2 linked regions of the Astyanax mexicanus genome follow. The protein of the gene in region 1 purifies or fractionates together with the protein of each later gene. This does not show direct contact. Links are inferred from orthologs where the notes say so. Each region holds a gene or a part of one and is shown on either strand. Other genes may lie near its edges.

Evidence for each region.
Region 2: the proteins of obsl1a (region 1) and calcium/calmodulin-dependent protein kinase kinase 2 purify together in Homo sapiens (affinity purification with mass spectrometry; 4 studies listed by BioGRID and IntAct, with this or other methods). This does not show direct contact. The link is inferred for Astyanax mexicanus from reciprocal best matches to the Homo sapiens genes OBSL1 and CAMKK2.

The regions. Positions count from the first base shown.
Region 1 is NC_064412.1:56,530,222-56,537,635, forward strand, and holds the start of obsl1a (obscurin-like protein 1a), read right to left. Parts: upstream 3,021-7,414; 5' UTR 2,591-3,020; intron 1-2,590. UniProt on the Homo sapiens protein: Core component of the 3M complex, a complex required to regulate microtubule dynamics and genome integrity. It is unclear how the 3M complex regulates microtubules, it could act by controlling the level of a microtubule stabilizer.
Region 2 is NC_064424.1:38,891,528-38,898,585, reverse strand, and holds the start of calcium/calmodulin-dependent protein kinase kinase 2, read right to left. Parts: upstream 3,024-7,058; 5' UTR 2,783-3,023; intron 1-2,782. Other genes in the region: snrpd3l (small nuclear ribonucleoprotein D3 polypeptide, like), read right to left, coding at 5,995-6,062. UniProt on the Homo sapiens protein: Calcium/calmodulin-dependent protein kinase belonging to a proposed calcium-triggered signaling cascade involved in a number of cellular processes. Isoform 1, isoform 2 and isoform 3 phosphorylate CAMK1 and CAMK4. Isoform 3 phosphorylates CAMK1D.

The DNA of each region.
Region 1 (7,414 bases):
CTGTTAAAAAAATTCATAAAATAAATAAAAATACATCAAATCATTAAAATCACAATTTAATACTATATACAAAAAAACAATATTATACCCTGAAACATGGTGCCATATATACCCCTAATTATCACATCAGGGTACTACTTTTTTTTTTTTACAGTTTTAGCAAAAAAATAAAAATTAAAAATAAATAAATAAATAAAAATGCATTAAAACATTGTACTCTAAACTATTATACTCTAAAATATCCAATTCCAGGCTTTAAAAATGCTTTAAATCTCCTTACTGAAATGAATCTATCCTTTTTGATCTTCTCTACATTCCACACTATTAAAAATATAAATCAATAAATAAATAGAAATAATACATTAAAAACATAAATTTAATACTATATACAAAAAATAATATTATACCATGAAAAATGGTGCCATATCACCCATCAGGGTACTACTTTTTTACTGTTTTTAGCAAAAAAAAAAAAAATTCACACTGTTCTCATTTCTGTTTTTTTACTTTAATCCTGGATATATAGAGATATTTATAGTGCATTATTATTATTATAAGTGTCATGACTGATCATTCTGGATCATTGACTTCTGTTACAAATCTGATAAAATTCTTGTATTATTTTAATATAACAAGTTGTTATTATTATTAGGATCACTTTTTCACAAAGGTCTAGATTGAATTGAATAGCTTTGATTCCTTAATAAATGAAACTATCATTCAAAAACTGCTTTAATGCCTCCGATATTAAAGTCTGTTTATCAATCTGAAAAATGTGAGTATGATAAAAAAAGCTAAACAAAATAAATCTGTATATGTCAAAATAAAAATACGTTTTTACAGCACTGTATCTCTTTGAAAGAGTCTCTCATAAAGCAAATATTTAACAGTCGGTCTAAGAAACCCCTGTGCTGCTCCTCCTCAGCCTCAGCAGCTGGTGCTGTTTATCAAGAGGAAGTATTTAAAATAGGTCGTCCAAATAAAGATGAGGAGATAAGTGGTCCGGCCGTGTGGAGGACAAAACAAAAGCCCCGAAAAACATCACAGAACTGCAGCGACACTGATTCATAACATTACAGCACATCACAATAACATGAACAGCTCATCCAGATATAACTGTAACATCATGTCATTAGCGCATCCTTTCTGTTTTAGCAATAACTTCAGTATTGAAATGACTCAGCTGTGGATTAAGATTCTTTTATGGTCTTTTAACTTCAGTGTGCTTCAAATAAAATGAGTCATAACTTGGTCAAGTTCGCTAGAAAGAATCCAACTATGGTGAATATAAATAAAATCATATAATCTCAAAAAGTAAGCATGTTAGCATTAGAATATGGTCACGGTCACAGTATTTGCATTATTAACTTATGGTACAATAAATAGTCATGACCTCAATCAGTTTAGTTGACCACAACTGTGCCAAATGTTTGTATTTACTAAGCTGGGAGAGCCCGGTTACATGAATTATCACATTAGTTATAATATATATATATAGACCATAACTGTTTAAAAATAGCTTTTATATATATATATATATATATATATATATATATATATATATATATATATATATATATATATATATATATATATATATATATATATATATTATAATTCCAACATTTAAATATACTTAAAAAGAATACATAAATAAATAATTGTTCTTTAAAATACAATATTATGCTATTCTATAAACATATGATTATATAAGTGATATAAAAAAAATTAAAATGGCAATAATTAGTAACATTTCACAGTAAGACTCACAAATAACAGGACTTATGATAAAAAAGTAATACAACTTTTTTAATGGTTAAGTAATATCAACATTTTTTTTTTAATTCACAACCTAATTATTAACCATTAATAAACTCCATCATAGATTTTTTTAAAAACCCTTTATAAATATATATATATATATATATATATATATATATATATATATATATATATATATATATATATATATATATATATATATATATATATATATATATAAAATGTTGACTTAATAATGTTGTAATGTTGCACTGTTAATTATAATTTTTTTTCTTTATTATTATATATTTTCTAACTCCATCATAGATTATTACAAAACCCTTTATAAAGGAGTCTCATTTAAAGTGACACCAACAAATATCACTTTAATGGTTAAGTAAAATTTCAAATAATATTTAAATTACATTTTCTCAGACTTTATATATATAATGTTGACTTAATGATGTTGTAATGTTTTATATATTGTAATTATTACACATTTTACACTATTTTACACTATTACACATTTTATGTTTTGTAACTATTTACTAATGGTCTATAAAGTATTCACAACCTAGTTATTAACCATTAATAACTCCCTAATACAAATGTGAGTTAAAAAGGAACTCTCACAAGGTGTTCAATGTATGTTTAACTAACTAACTAACTAACTAAGTGTTGATTTAACTCCAAATAGTGTTGAGCTACAGTATTTAAACCCTGAGAAAGAGTTAAAATCAATTACTTTCTCTGTGAGAGTAAGTTAAAACAACACATGACTTTTTGCTTTGCAATCTTCTCTCGAGAGGCCATTATAAAGCAAACCTACCTGTAATAACTGTGATCTTCGAGTCTCCAAGACCCAATACTGAGAAAACGCTCCTTCCCAGGACTTCCTCTTGAGTTTTGAGCCTCTTGAGAGGTTTTTGACCTCCAGTGTCAACTTGCTCCAATCTTCAAATCTTTAATCGAGCCGACCTCTGACCCCTGCTGTGGTTTGGAGATACGTAGAGATAGATTATGCCGGAGCAGAAGCTGCAGATGGTGTTCCACAGAGCTGGAGATGATGCTTTCCCTTGATTTATCCACCAGTGCAGATGAATCCGTATCTCAGGATTCAGGATATTGTGTGTAAAGTCCTCAGAGATGTTCTCAGCTCTGGTTGTGAAGCTCTCAGGCGTGTGAATGCATGGTGCGTGAGCTTCACTCTGTATTACTCAGGCTCTCCTCTCGCGCTGTATCTCTCACACCGTGCACAACGTCACTCAGCCCCGGGGCACCCTGGGTGTCACTGTCAGCTAACGGCCAATAAATGCTTCCACAGCTGCCGCCTCACCAGCTAAAAATACCTGCACCAGCCACCCGGCCGGGGGTGGGGGTGGGGGTTAAGTTGGTGGTTGGGGGTTGGTGGGGTGCAAGAGATAAGGTCCAAGCCTTGGTTCGGTGGAGTGCGAAGGCTAAACTTAGACTGATAGATCACTTCAGTCCTTCCGCTGTGATACAGACAGAAGTACTCAGTAATGCTGATGTGTGTGCCAGTCGTACATCTGTCTTTCTGTCTTTCTGTCTTTCTGGCTGCTGCTATTGTAACAGAGAAGAAAATGAATGAATTTCACCTAAATTGCTCCATTATTACAGGGGTTGGAGATTGAAATTGAAACACCTGGTTTTAGAGCACAATAGTTTATTGTGGTGACGGACAGTTCTGGTGGAAACAGGAGAGTTGAGGTGAACATTAAATTCTGCGTTAGCACCCGAACATCCCTTTCAGACAGCTTCCTCTTACAGCATCCACAGTTAATCCTGTTGGATGTGGTTGGTGCTTCTTGGTGGTATGCTGACATTACCCTGGATACCGTGGCTCTTGATGCATCACAAAGACTTGCTGTCTTGGTCACAGATGCTCCAGCAAGACGTGCACCAACAATTTGTCCTCTTTTGAACTCTGGTATGTCTCCCATAATGTTGTGTGCATTGCAATATTTAGAGCAGAACTGTGCTCTTACCCTGCTAATTGAACCTTCACACTCTGCTCTTACTGGTGCAATAATGTGCAATTAATGAAGATTGAACACCAGGCTGCACCAATTTAGACATGAAACCTAAAATCTCAAACTAAAATGATGACATGTGTTTCAGTTTCATTGTCCAACCCCTGTAGATAAAAAAGGGGTTAAAAACATGTAAAAGAGGTAGACAGCGAAATGTTCTAATCCAGATTATGAGAAGCAAGAACTACTTAACTAAAGTTTAGAAAATACTTTAAGTGAAAAATAATGGTCAGTTAATCCAAAAAGAAGAATTTCCAGAACTTTATCACAAAGAAAGGCTACCAAAAATGTTATGATGATGGAACTGGCTCTCTGTCATGGTGTGCACAGAATACAGACACTCGCAGATGCAGTAAAACGGGTTGTTTATTAAAATAGCAGGCAGAAAAAAGGGTAGTCGTACAAACAAAGTTAGAGCACCGGTAAACAGAAGCAACGTAGAGATAACCATACCATGAGTGAGATACAGTCCAGAGTTCAAACACAAGCAGGCCAACATCAGAGGTAATCCAAAATCGAAAAACGTGAAACAGTCCAGGTCATACACAAAAATATCCACAATCAGAGATAATCCAAAAATCGGCGTCGAGAAAAAACAAAACAAGGTCATACACGAAGATAACAGAGACAATAGAGAGTAACGCTTAGTAATGAGGAAAATCCAACAATACCCGGCACAGAAGTGTGTGAGAGGTGTCCTTAAATAGTGCCAGACTAATATTCGGGGCTTCCTGGTTGGAGCAGGTGAGGTGACGTGTGACTGGGTGTGTGCGTGTCAGCGGGTGGTGCGTTCTGGGTAATGTAGTTGTTAGACTGAGAACCTCTGTCAGAGCTGGGTGCGTGAGAAACAGAGGAGCTAACAGCACCAGATGTGACACTCTCATCAGGACCAAGAGTATTTTGGTTTGTTTAACACTGTTTTTAAGTTACTACATGGTTTCTTATGTGTTCCTTCATAGTATGATAGATCACTTCACTATTCATTTACTATGTAGAAAATATAATAAAATAGAAAAGCATCCAAACCTTTGACTGGTTCTATATATAAGTGTAACACATTGTGTAACACAAATGGCACCAGATTTGTGAATCCCTGAGATAGATAATTAAAGCTGTTCATGAAAAGACTTAAACAGTTTGATGTGATTCCTGTGGGACTCTTTATGCGTTTCTACAAGTGTCAACAAGAATTCATCTCCTAATCTTCTAATAAATTCAGCAGCACTGATTCTCTGAAAAATGCAAATGTCACTCAAATGCATCTTGCAATAATATGCAGAAAAGAGCTTTATGAATTAAGCTTTCCTTTAAAAAAAACTGAGCATATTATTATTATACAACCGTATTATCCTGTAAAAATAAATATCTGAATATTTATATATTAGATAATATTGAATAAATAGTCCACTTTAGTGTTGACTGTGCTGTGAAAGCAGTGCTCTCTGCTGGCAGATCAGTCGCATCACATGGACGGATGGTGCTGTAGAGGGTTATCTGCATGATGCCAAAGAATAATGACTTTTGTATTATTATTTAAAAAAATAAACACATAATTAATAAAATGTTTAAGTCCCTCCATTAATTTTTTAAAAGAGATCTCTCCTCCTCTATTCTTACCAGTTTAAGTCTCTTTCAGAATGAGCCATTTAAGGGCTCTGTCACTTTTATGCAAATTATCTGTTGCTGTTGCTGGTTTATGCTTAACTGCAATGGAAGCACAAAACTTCTTACTTTCCAAACTCTTATAAGTGATCCACAAAAAAAGGAATGGGTGGATTTTTTGGGTGATAGGAGTGTTTCTAGGGGCAGTTAAGACCCAAATGAAAATTTAAGAAAAAGCACAGAAAAAGTGAGTTTTGAATAGTAATAAATTCAGAGCACACTGAGAGATTAATCTAGATTAAAGGAATCTAGATCTCACATGATGTAATGTTTCCTAAAATATATATCAAAAATGAGCAAATAAATATAATAATAGCTAAGATAAATAAAAATAATTAAATATTCTAATTAAAAATGTAAAACAAACAAAATCAATAAGTTATGACCAATCAGAATCGAGGCATTTTTGATAGCAATGAAGTTTATGGAACTTTAAATAAACACAGCAAAAATGTACTTTATTTGTATACTCAAATGTAGTTGAGATAAGTAAAAACTAATTTTATTCCAACACTTTGAATGGCTTATTTATTGGTAACAGTGGGTTTATTGTTCATATGTACACTATTGTAAATGGATTTTAACAGAAAAATAAACATTTGCTGGAGTAAATGAGCTTTAGCCTAATGTAGAATAGTAATATATGAATTGATCTAATCTAATAATCTGATAGTGCTCTGTAATATGTGTGTTATATGTGAATTGATAATCTATGATAATCTAATAATCTGATAGTGCTCTGTATGTGATGTGTATCAGGTGCTGCAGCAGTTTTCTGCTCGGTGTTCTGTATTTATGGGCTGCAGGTGAGGCCAGAAGGTATCTTGACGTGGATTAGGATGGAATGTATCAGCAGAAGCACTGTTGACAGCACAGATGCTGCCGGCGTGTCGAGACACGGACCCTGAATATCACCATCCAGTTTTTACCATAATCCCACAGCGAGACGAAAAACAGAGACTCATCAGCATATTTATCAGTATATAACCTCAAAACCAGCGCACACTTTAATGCTGTATTGAGCTGATCAGGTTCAGTCAAACATGTTCTGTACCTGTATCTTAACATGCAGGTTATGTGCTATAAAATTAACAAATTAAAGTTGTTAAACAAAAAGTCTAAGTTAAATATATTTAAGGTATTAAACATTGTTTTCTTATTGTGACATCACAATTAGGGAGGAGCCATCCAAACGGCTCATAGAAACATATGATTCAAATAAATGATGTTTTGGATATTTGAAGTGTTTATGAAGTGAAAAAAAAACAAACATATGAAGTATACAAAAAAAAAGTTGACAAAGAGTTTTGCATAATATTAAACTCAGAGTTAATTCTACATTAAAGGAAATTTTAAACAAGAAAACTGAAGAAATGACTAAATATATATAAAGCAGGAAATACAGCTCTGAAAAAAAATAAAAGACAGTTTAAAATAATGAGCTGCACCAGGAGTGAAGGCATGAAGTTATCCAAAAGCAGTGTGTAAGACTGGTGGAGGAGAACATGATGCCAAGATGCATGAAAAAAACTGTGATTAAAACCATCCAGGATTATTCCACCAAATATTGATTGATTTCTGAACTCTTAAAACTTTATGAATATGAACTTGTTTTCTTTGCATAATTTGAGGTCTGAAAGCTCTGCCTCTCTTTTTGTTATTTCAGCCATTTCTCATTTTTTACTTGGAATTTGGGAGAAATGTTGTCCGTAGTTAGAATAATAGAATTAAACAACAATATTAATTTTAGTTTTATTTACAACAAACTTAATTTATTTGGAGTTTAATTTATTTTGTGTGGGTTTCCAATGCATCGAAAGGAAAGGAATTAGCAGCATTGTGCTAAAGCCGCTGTTCTCAGTTCAGTGGATGGTAATTTTTAATGAGGCGTTTAGGACCCTGGGGAGTCTGTTCTGTACTGAATGCCTGAGTCAGTGTAC
Region 2 (7,058 bases), on another chromosome or scaffold:
TGCAAAACATGTCCCAGGCTGCCCTTTTACTGAACTTGAGGAGAAATGTAAAAGCCCAAGACCAAGATGTTGCTGAAGCACAGAGAGCTCTGGTCTGCTGAGTTATTTTAATCTCAAGACTGTTCCTTCGCTGGGTGACCTACTTTGATCTTTGATGGATTGCACAGCATTCACTGGGACACTGCTCTATGTGCACAGCCTATATAAGCTGCCAAATATGAACTCAGCTGTGTGCTGGGCTTATGTACCAAAGATCGGCATTAACAAAGAAGCTCCACCAATCAGGAACTGTTTAAACACTGTAGCCACAGAGAAAGCCCCTTTATATTGTAATAGGTGCATATTATTCAGCCCCTGAAAAAGATTTGCAGTGGCAACAATTTCTGCATTTATGTCTGGTTTACCCGGCATTCATTACCTACAGCGTGGAGCTGAATTAAACAATTATTGTAAGACATTATTTCTGAATGAAGACGAATAAGAGACAAATAGAGGTGTAAATTAGGAATCCAATTTTTATCGCCATGTTATTGTGATGCATTCCACACGCTTAAGTGCTGCAATAACAGGACAGATCAAATTACATTACACACAAGAATAATGTGTACTACAGAGGCTACAATGCAGAGTTAGGATTTGTGTCTAATATTACATTGTTTACACCCTGATCTCAGTTTATGAAAAAAGACAGATTTGACCACATGAGTGCCAGTATCCCCATTTATCCATCCAGCCAAGCATATATCCCACCATTTCAGTATTTCACTGTTTCACTATTTTGCACAATGACATTTTATAATGTATGGGTGGTCAATCTGCTTAAAAAAGAGGCTAGTTGATTATGATTATTGATTATGTAGGTCTTCCCTTTAATTTCTCATTTGTAACTACTAGTCATAGTAGCTACTGTGAAAAGGTCAAACACTGTCTCTGAAATGGTGTCTGCTATTAAAGAACTGTCCTGCTATTTAAGACTTTGTATCTGCCCACTGCTAAAACAGTATTTGTAAACCAGAGCTGCTCTTGCCTTAAAACCAAGCAGATGTTCTATTAGTACAGATGCCAGCTGTTTATCATAGTGTGTGGTCACATGACTGTTCCTCGCCATTATGACGGCATAGAGCTAAACAATGTACACATAGATAACAATACACAAAATATACAGAACAAAGCACAGGAAAAGCTTATCTGTATTAGCATTTAGTTTGCAAAACTAAATTTCGAGACCGACATGTGATCTTTTATGAAATATTTACATATAAATATACATTTTGCATTTAAATAACAGACTGCATAACAGCATAGCTCCACTTGGCTGCTGCCAATGCTAGAAATGTTGTTTGGGGTAGAATTTATGTTAATGGGGATTGTCATTTGCTTTTTAAGTGCTTTTTAGGTCAGGTGCCCATCACAACTCTCCATAAGCATAAGTCTCAGAAATAGGAATCTATGTGTTTTCTTTATAATTTAATACAATTAAAATCATTCAATTTGATCTACCTCCTGACAGAAAAGACAGCTATTATCAGCCCAAATGGATATTTTCCATTTAAATATAAAGACCTGTCCACAAATAAAAAAAAATATGTATTGTATACAGCAGCAACAGCAGCCTAGCTCTCTTCCACGTTCCCTCTCTAACAAATATTATTTGCTATTTTTGGTAATTTTTCAGTCAGATGGCCATCAAAAATGTACACCTGTAAAACCTGAACACACCAGTGTAATTAATTTGGATCAGTACATCAGCATAATAATCACTGTATTATACATCTGTTACAATTCAATTTGTGGTGAAATGTCTTCTTGCCCACTTATCCTCACAGAAATAACATAAAAGCTATTTACTGACTTACAGACTGAAATACAACCTGTACAAAAAAAAGAATACACATTAAAAACTATAGATTTTCCAGCCTAACACACAAATTAAGACTTGGACATGTTTTTATGTCTCAGATTTGAGCTCTGCAGTTCAGACTGCTCCACAACCTAGCTCCTTCACTTTCTCTCTATAATAATTAATGGGGACCTCATGTGTCAGATGTCCATCAAAACTATCTGTACACCTGTAACATCTATACACGCCAGTGAAATGATTGTACAACTAAAACAACCATTACAATTCAGTTTGTGGTGAAGGGGTTCTTGTACATTCCTCACAGACCAGCTCCCCCACTCTCTCTCTCTCTCTAATAGCGAGCGTTATATCTGTCGGTTTGTTGTTTTGGGGTAAAACTGAGGTAGATGGGGATGCTTTTTTGTTATTTGCTTTTCTGGTTAGATTTCCTCGCAGGTGCTTATTAAAACTATCTGTACTGTCAGAAATATGGGTAGTTATGGTACAGGGTAGCTCGCTCGCTCGCTGGTCCGCTATCAGAGGCGCTGTTATCGGGTACAGGCTGCACACTTCCCCGCTCTGGAAGTAAAGCTAGAGATACCGTTAGCTAGCAGCTTGCTAACTAACATACTGACATCTAAAACAGCGCTAGGGATAAAAAGGCAAAAATCAATTAAAACGCTCGGTGTGGATTTAAACATGTAGAGAAGGAGCCGAGAAAGACTGCACTGTATTTATTTAAATTGAGAGATATAAGAGTTCAGAGCTCAGCTGGGCTCGCAGTTAGTATTTATATCCGCCTCGGTTCTGCTAAGCGCGCTAGGCTAGCGGAGGAAGCTCTTATGAAACAGATGTTGGGGTAGAAATCCCCCGCTGGAGCTGAAGGGCACAAATAAACACTCAGGATCAGAAAACAACACGGTAATAAGTGCTGATTCTCACCGCGCCGGTCCGAACTGTCCTTAAGGGTCTCTGGAGAAGCAGCTTCTTCGCGGTGCGATCAGCCGGTTTAATGGTATTCGTTGCGGGGTGGCTGCGGTGGGCAGGCGGGGCAGCTCCGCTGTGATGCGGGGCCGCTGCTGCATCCTCTACTGTGTGCAGGCGGATTCAGAGAACAGCAGCTCAGCCATGCCTCTCACCACACACTAGAGGTGGAAATCCCAGGTCCAGAAATAAAAAATCCAGCCCGGGGTTTGGTACCAACTGCTTGGGCGGCTCTGGGTAGAGCCAAGCTGCAGCAGAGCCTCCCAGGCAGTTGGTACAAAACCCTGGGATGGATTTTTACTTTCTGGACCTGGGTCCCCCCCCCTCATCTTAACACACACGGCCTTAAAAGGGGAAATCTCTTTTTGGATATTAACCCTTCGCTGCTGGAGCCACAATTATACAGCTCTGGAAAAAAAGAGACCACTTCAGTTTCTGAATCAGTTTCAGTGATGTTGCTATTTATAGGTACATGTTCTAGTAAAACTACTGACATTTCTCCCAAATTCCAAAAAAACAAAAATTGTCATTTAGAGCTTTTAGATCTTAAATAATGCAAATAAAACACATTAACTTTCATAAAGTATAAAGAGTTCAGAAATCAATGTTTGGTGGATTAAAATAGTTTTTTTAAACACAGTTTTCATGCATCTTGGCATATCCTCCTCCACCAGTCTTGGACTTTTTTTCTTTTGGATAACACTCCTGGTGCAAAAATTCTAACAGTTCAAGTCCTGAAGATTTAGCAACATTTAGCATCTACACAATATTAGACCCATCTTTTTAAACATATTATAGGATGGAAAAGTAGCTAATGAAACTATACCAAGGCTGGCCACAATCAAAGAAAGTAGTTGAGGCATGCTACCAAAATGGACATGCACAATTTTTCATTCATGTTTTTGCTAAACTCAGTCCTATTACTTTCACTCCTGTTACTCAGTGAGTGCCAGTAACAGGAATGTGTGCCAGTAACAGAAGTGAATGCCAGTATAAGGACTGAGTAGAGTCCCCTAGTTATTGATTTATTAATGTAAACATTAGTTAATGTACAGTAAACCGCCATTTCCAATTCTGCTTGGGTCATCATTTTGCCATTTGTTTAATAAACTGCATGATAAAAAATGATCAATTTCTGGTTTGGGTCTTCATAAAAAAATTACAAAAGACTTCACATCTTTTAGAAGTGCATGCAATTAGTGTTTTTTTGTTATAATATTAATTATTCAAACATGCAGTATACGGAGGAATTTGTTTTTAAAATGTTTTTTTTAATGTCAAGTTTTGGTAACAGGAAAGAGAAAAATCATCTTCAGATTAGAAACCTTGTAAAAAAAAAAAAAATACCAGTACATGTTTTGAATAGTTACACCAAGCAAATGGCACCCATTTGGTGGAATGGCCCATTAGTATAGTCAAATGGAATAAAAAGGCAAATGGAAGAGTTTTAAAGTTATTTAGTCTCCAGCTAAATTTATGTCCATAAAGTAAGCTAGAAATGCTGTACAATTTGTAGCTGATATTAAAATGTAAAAACTGTTATTTGACTTTTCACTCAGTATTTAAATTAAAATTGTTTCTGGTTGGTTCTACTGCTCAACTGAATGATAAACCATACTCCTAAACCTTCATTCATTTTTAAACGGCCATAACTCTCTGTTCTGGGCTTCCTGAAAAAAAAAAAATAGAAAATGGTTCGTATTTGTACATATTTAATTTTAACATAGATGTCCTTTGTAAACCATGTTCAAGTGGCAGTTAAATTTCTAAAGACACATTAATGTAAAATATGAAAAAGATATAAAGCAAGCATTTTATATATTTTTTATATACTGTACATAAAAATAGTAACATAAGAGGCAACATACACTACAAGCATGTCATGAGGAATTGCAGCACTCATTGATTTTTGTAAAAAGCTTGTATAAATACATTTTTAAAATGTACGAGACACATTGGCCTAGTCATAGTAGGTTCAATACAACCAAACATGTTTCAACTTAACGAAACATTTCAGCAGAAAGGTAAGGTTAAAGGGTTTTATTCATGTTTCGCTTGACATCTAAAAAAAATGTTGGATCAAGTATGTGTGACAGTCATAGGCCTAGTTATTTCGACTGGGAAATTTGGATTGGTCTCCATTGGTCTTCATGCTGTTTACATTGACATCATGCGACCAAGAAGACACCTAACAATTGATCAACCGTACCTCACCACTGCGAGGCTTGAAACAGGATGTTTTTAGACGGAAGTGTCATCAGCAGGTTGCAACAGTGATGCAGAAAGACTGAAAGTCAGAGAAAGGCATAGAAGTGGACGTCATTTGGTCAAACCCTACACTGGTGACCACTTCATTGTGATCTGTGCCCTGCGGAACCAGATGATTCATGCCACACAACTCCAGGCACATGTAAGGTAGGTGCGAGGCACCCCAGGGCTGTTCACTGATTAAAATCTATTCACACAGAAGAAATGGCAGCCACCAAAAATGTTGGAGAGGTCAATGGGGAACACTATGCATCAGTCCCACTGCAGTTACCAGACGAGCCCTACACTTTGTGAATGGTTCGGTGAAACGCCAATACTACTCAAATTACATCATCAATCCAGTCAATGTGTCTCTGCATGAACACATGCCTAATTCCACCTTCATGGACATCCACACTCTAGCTCATGGAGGTTGCATAATTAGGGAACAGCTGCTGGAGACTTACCTTAAATGAAGTGGCCTGCCATTTTTCCAGACCTGAATCCCATAGAAAACAAAACTCTATCCTAAAACCTCAAGGACCTGAAGGTCACCCTTCAAGAAGAGTGGGATGCCATGACTCAGCAGACAAAAAGTATTGTGATCAAATTACAATTTATATTAATTCTATAAAGACTAAAACTGAACTTCACAACCTATTATAATAACAGTATTTGCAAGCATAAAAAATGGTGGTACACCTTATTAAAATGAACCAAATGAGCCTCGTTGTATAAGTAAAGACTTCCATTTATTACAACAAAAAACAAAAAGGGGGGTGGAATCAAAACAAGCTAATTAAAAAAAAAAAAAACAAACAAAAAAAAACAACACTTTGAATTCAATGGTAACCAATCCAAGTAAGCACTCAACATAAAAGTTGAACAGAAAACTGTACAGACTGAAGCCACTAGGAACTGAACTACCGGCGTTTCTGGAAAATGTTTCCTCTTGCTCCCGGCCCGCCCCGGCCCCGACCTCTTGCAGCCACTAGAGGATTAAGAAACGAAGGAAAAAATAAATTAATTAATAAACAAACAAACAAAACAAACACTGGGTCACTCATGGGTTATTACTAGGAAACAACTGCATTATGTCAATACTAATTTATATATAAATTAAAATACAAAATTAGTACATATTTAAAATGTAAGATGTAATAATTTTGCAGCCAAAATTGGTAAAAGAACGAATTAATTAAAAAATAAACAGGTTAAATATTTCAGCTCAATCATGTGTATTAACATTCACAGAACTAGTTCATGAACATCTAGCTGGAGGAACTGTTTGGCTCAAATCTACAGAGAGCACATTAGTGGTTAAAAGACAGAAAACATCACCATCTCTGTTTTCTGTCCCCAACTTTCTTTACTGCTTCAGAGCAACAGAAACATCTGACCGCGGCATTTAAAGGCTCTTTAAATGCCCAATGTTTAAACGTGAGGTGTTCTGATATTGAGTAAGAAAATTCATAATCTGTTGTGTTTGGTCCCTTTTGTGGTCCAAGCTTAGTGTTAACTGAGTGACTAAGAAGCCTTAACCCTCCTGCACTTCTGTCCCCAGAATTGGATTGCAGTTACTAATCAACTATTAAGCAAAACTGAAATCTGGAGTACAAATATTTCTAACTGAGATTTATATCAACTAATCATCCTTTTAAGGGATATAACAGGACCAAAGGAGTCTGTTAAGGGGTATAAATAGACCACAAAAAAAACCCACACACAAACCCACCCATCCACACACCTGTAACAATCAAATCTTAGATACTGAAGGATTACCAAAACACTCAGTTTCATTCACTTTCCCTAGGGTTTCCACTAACCGTGCATGATCAGTCAGAGCTTTTAACTACCACACCCATATGCTGCTAAAATCATCTACACATTCAATTTCTTTAACGTCTACAGATTACTAGTCACGCACACAAATATGTAGGCAGAAGTAAATGCAAAAAGCAATTTTGCACTTGACAGAACAAAGCTT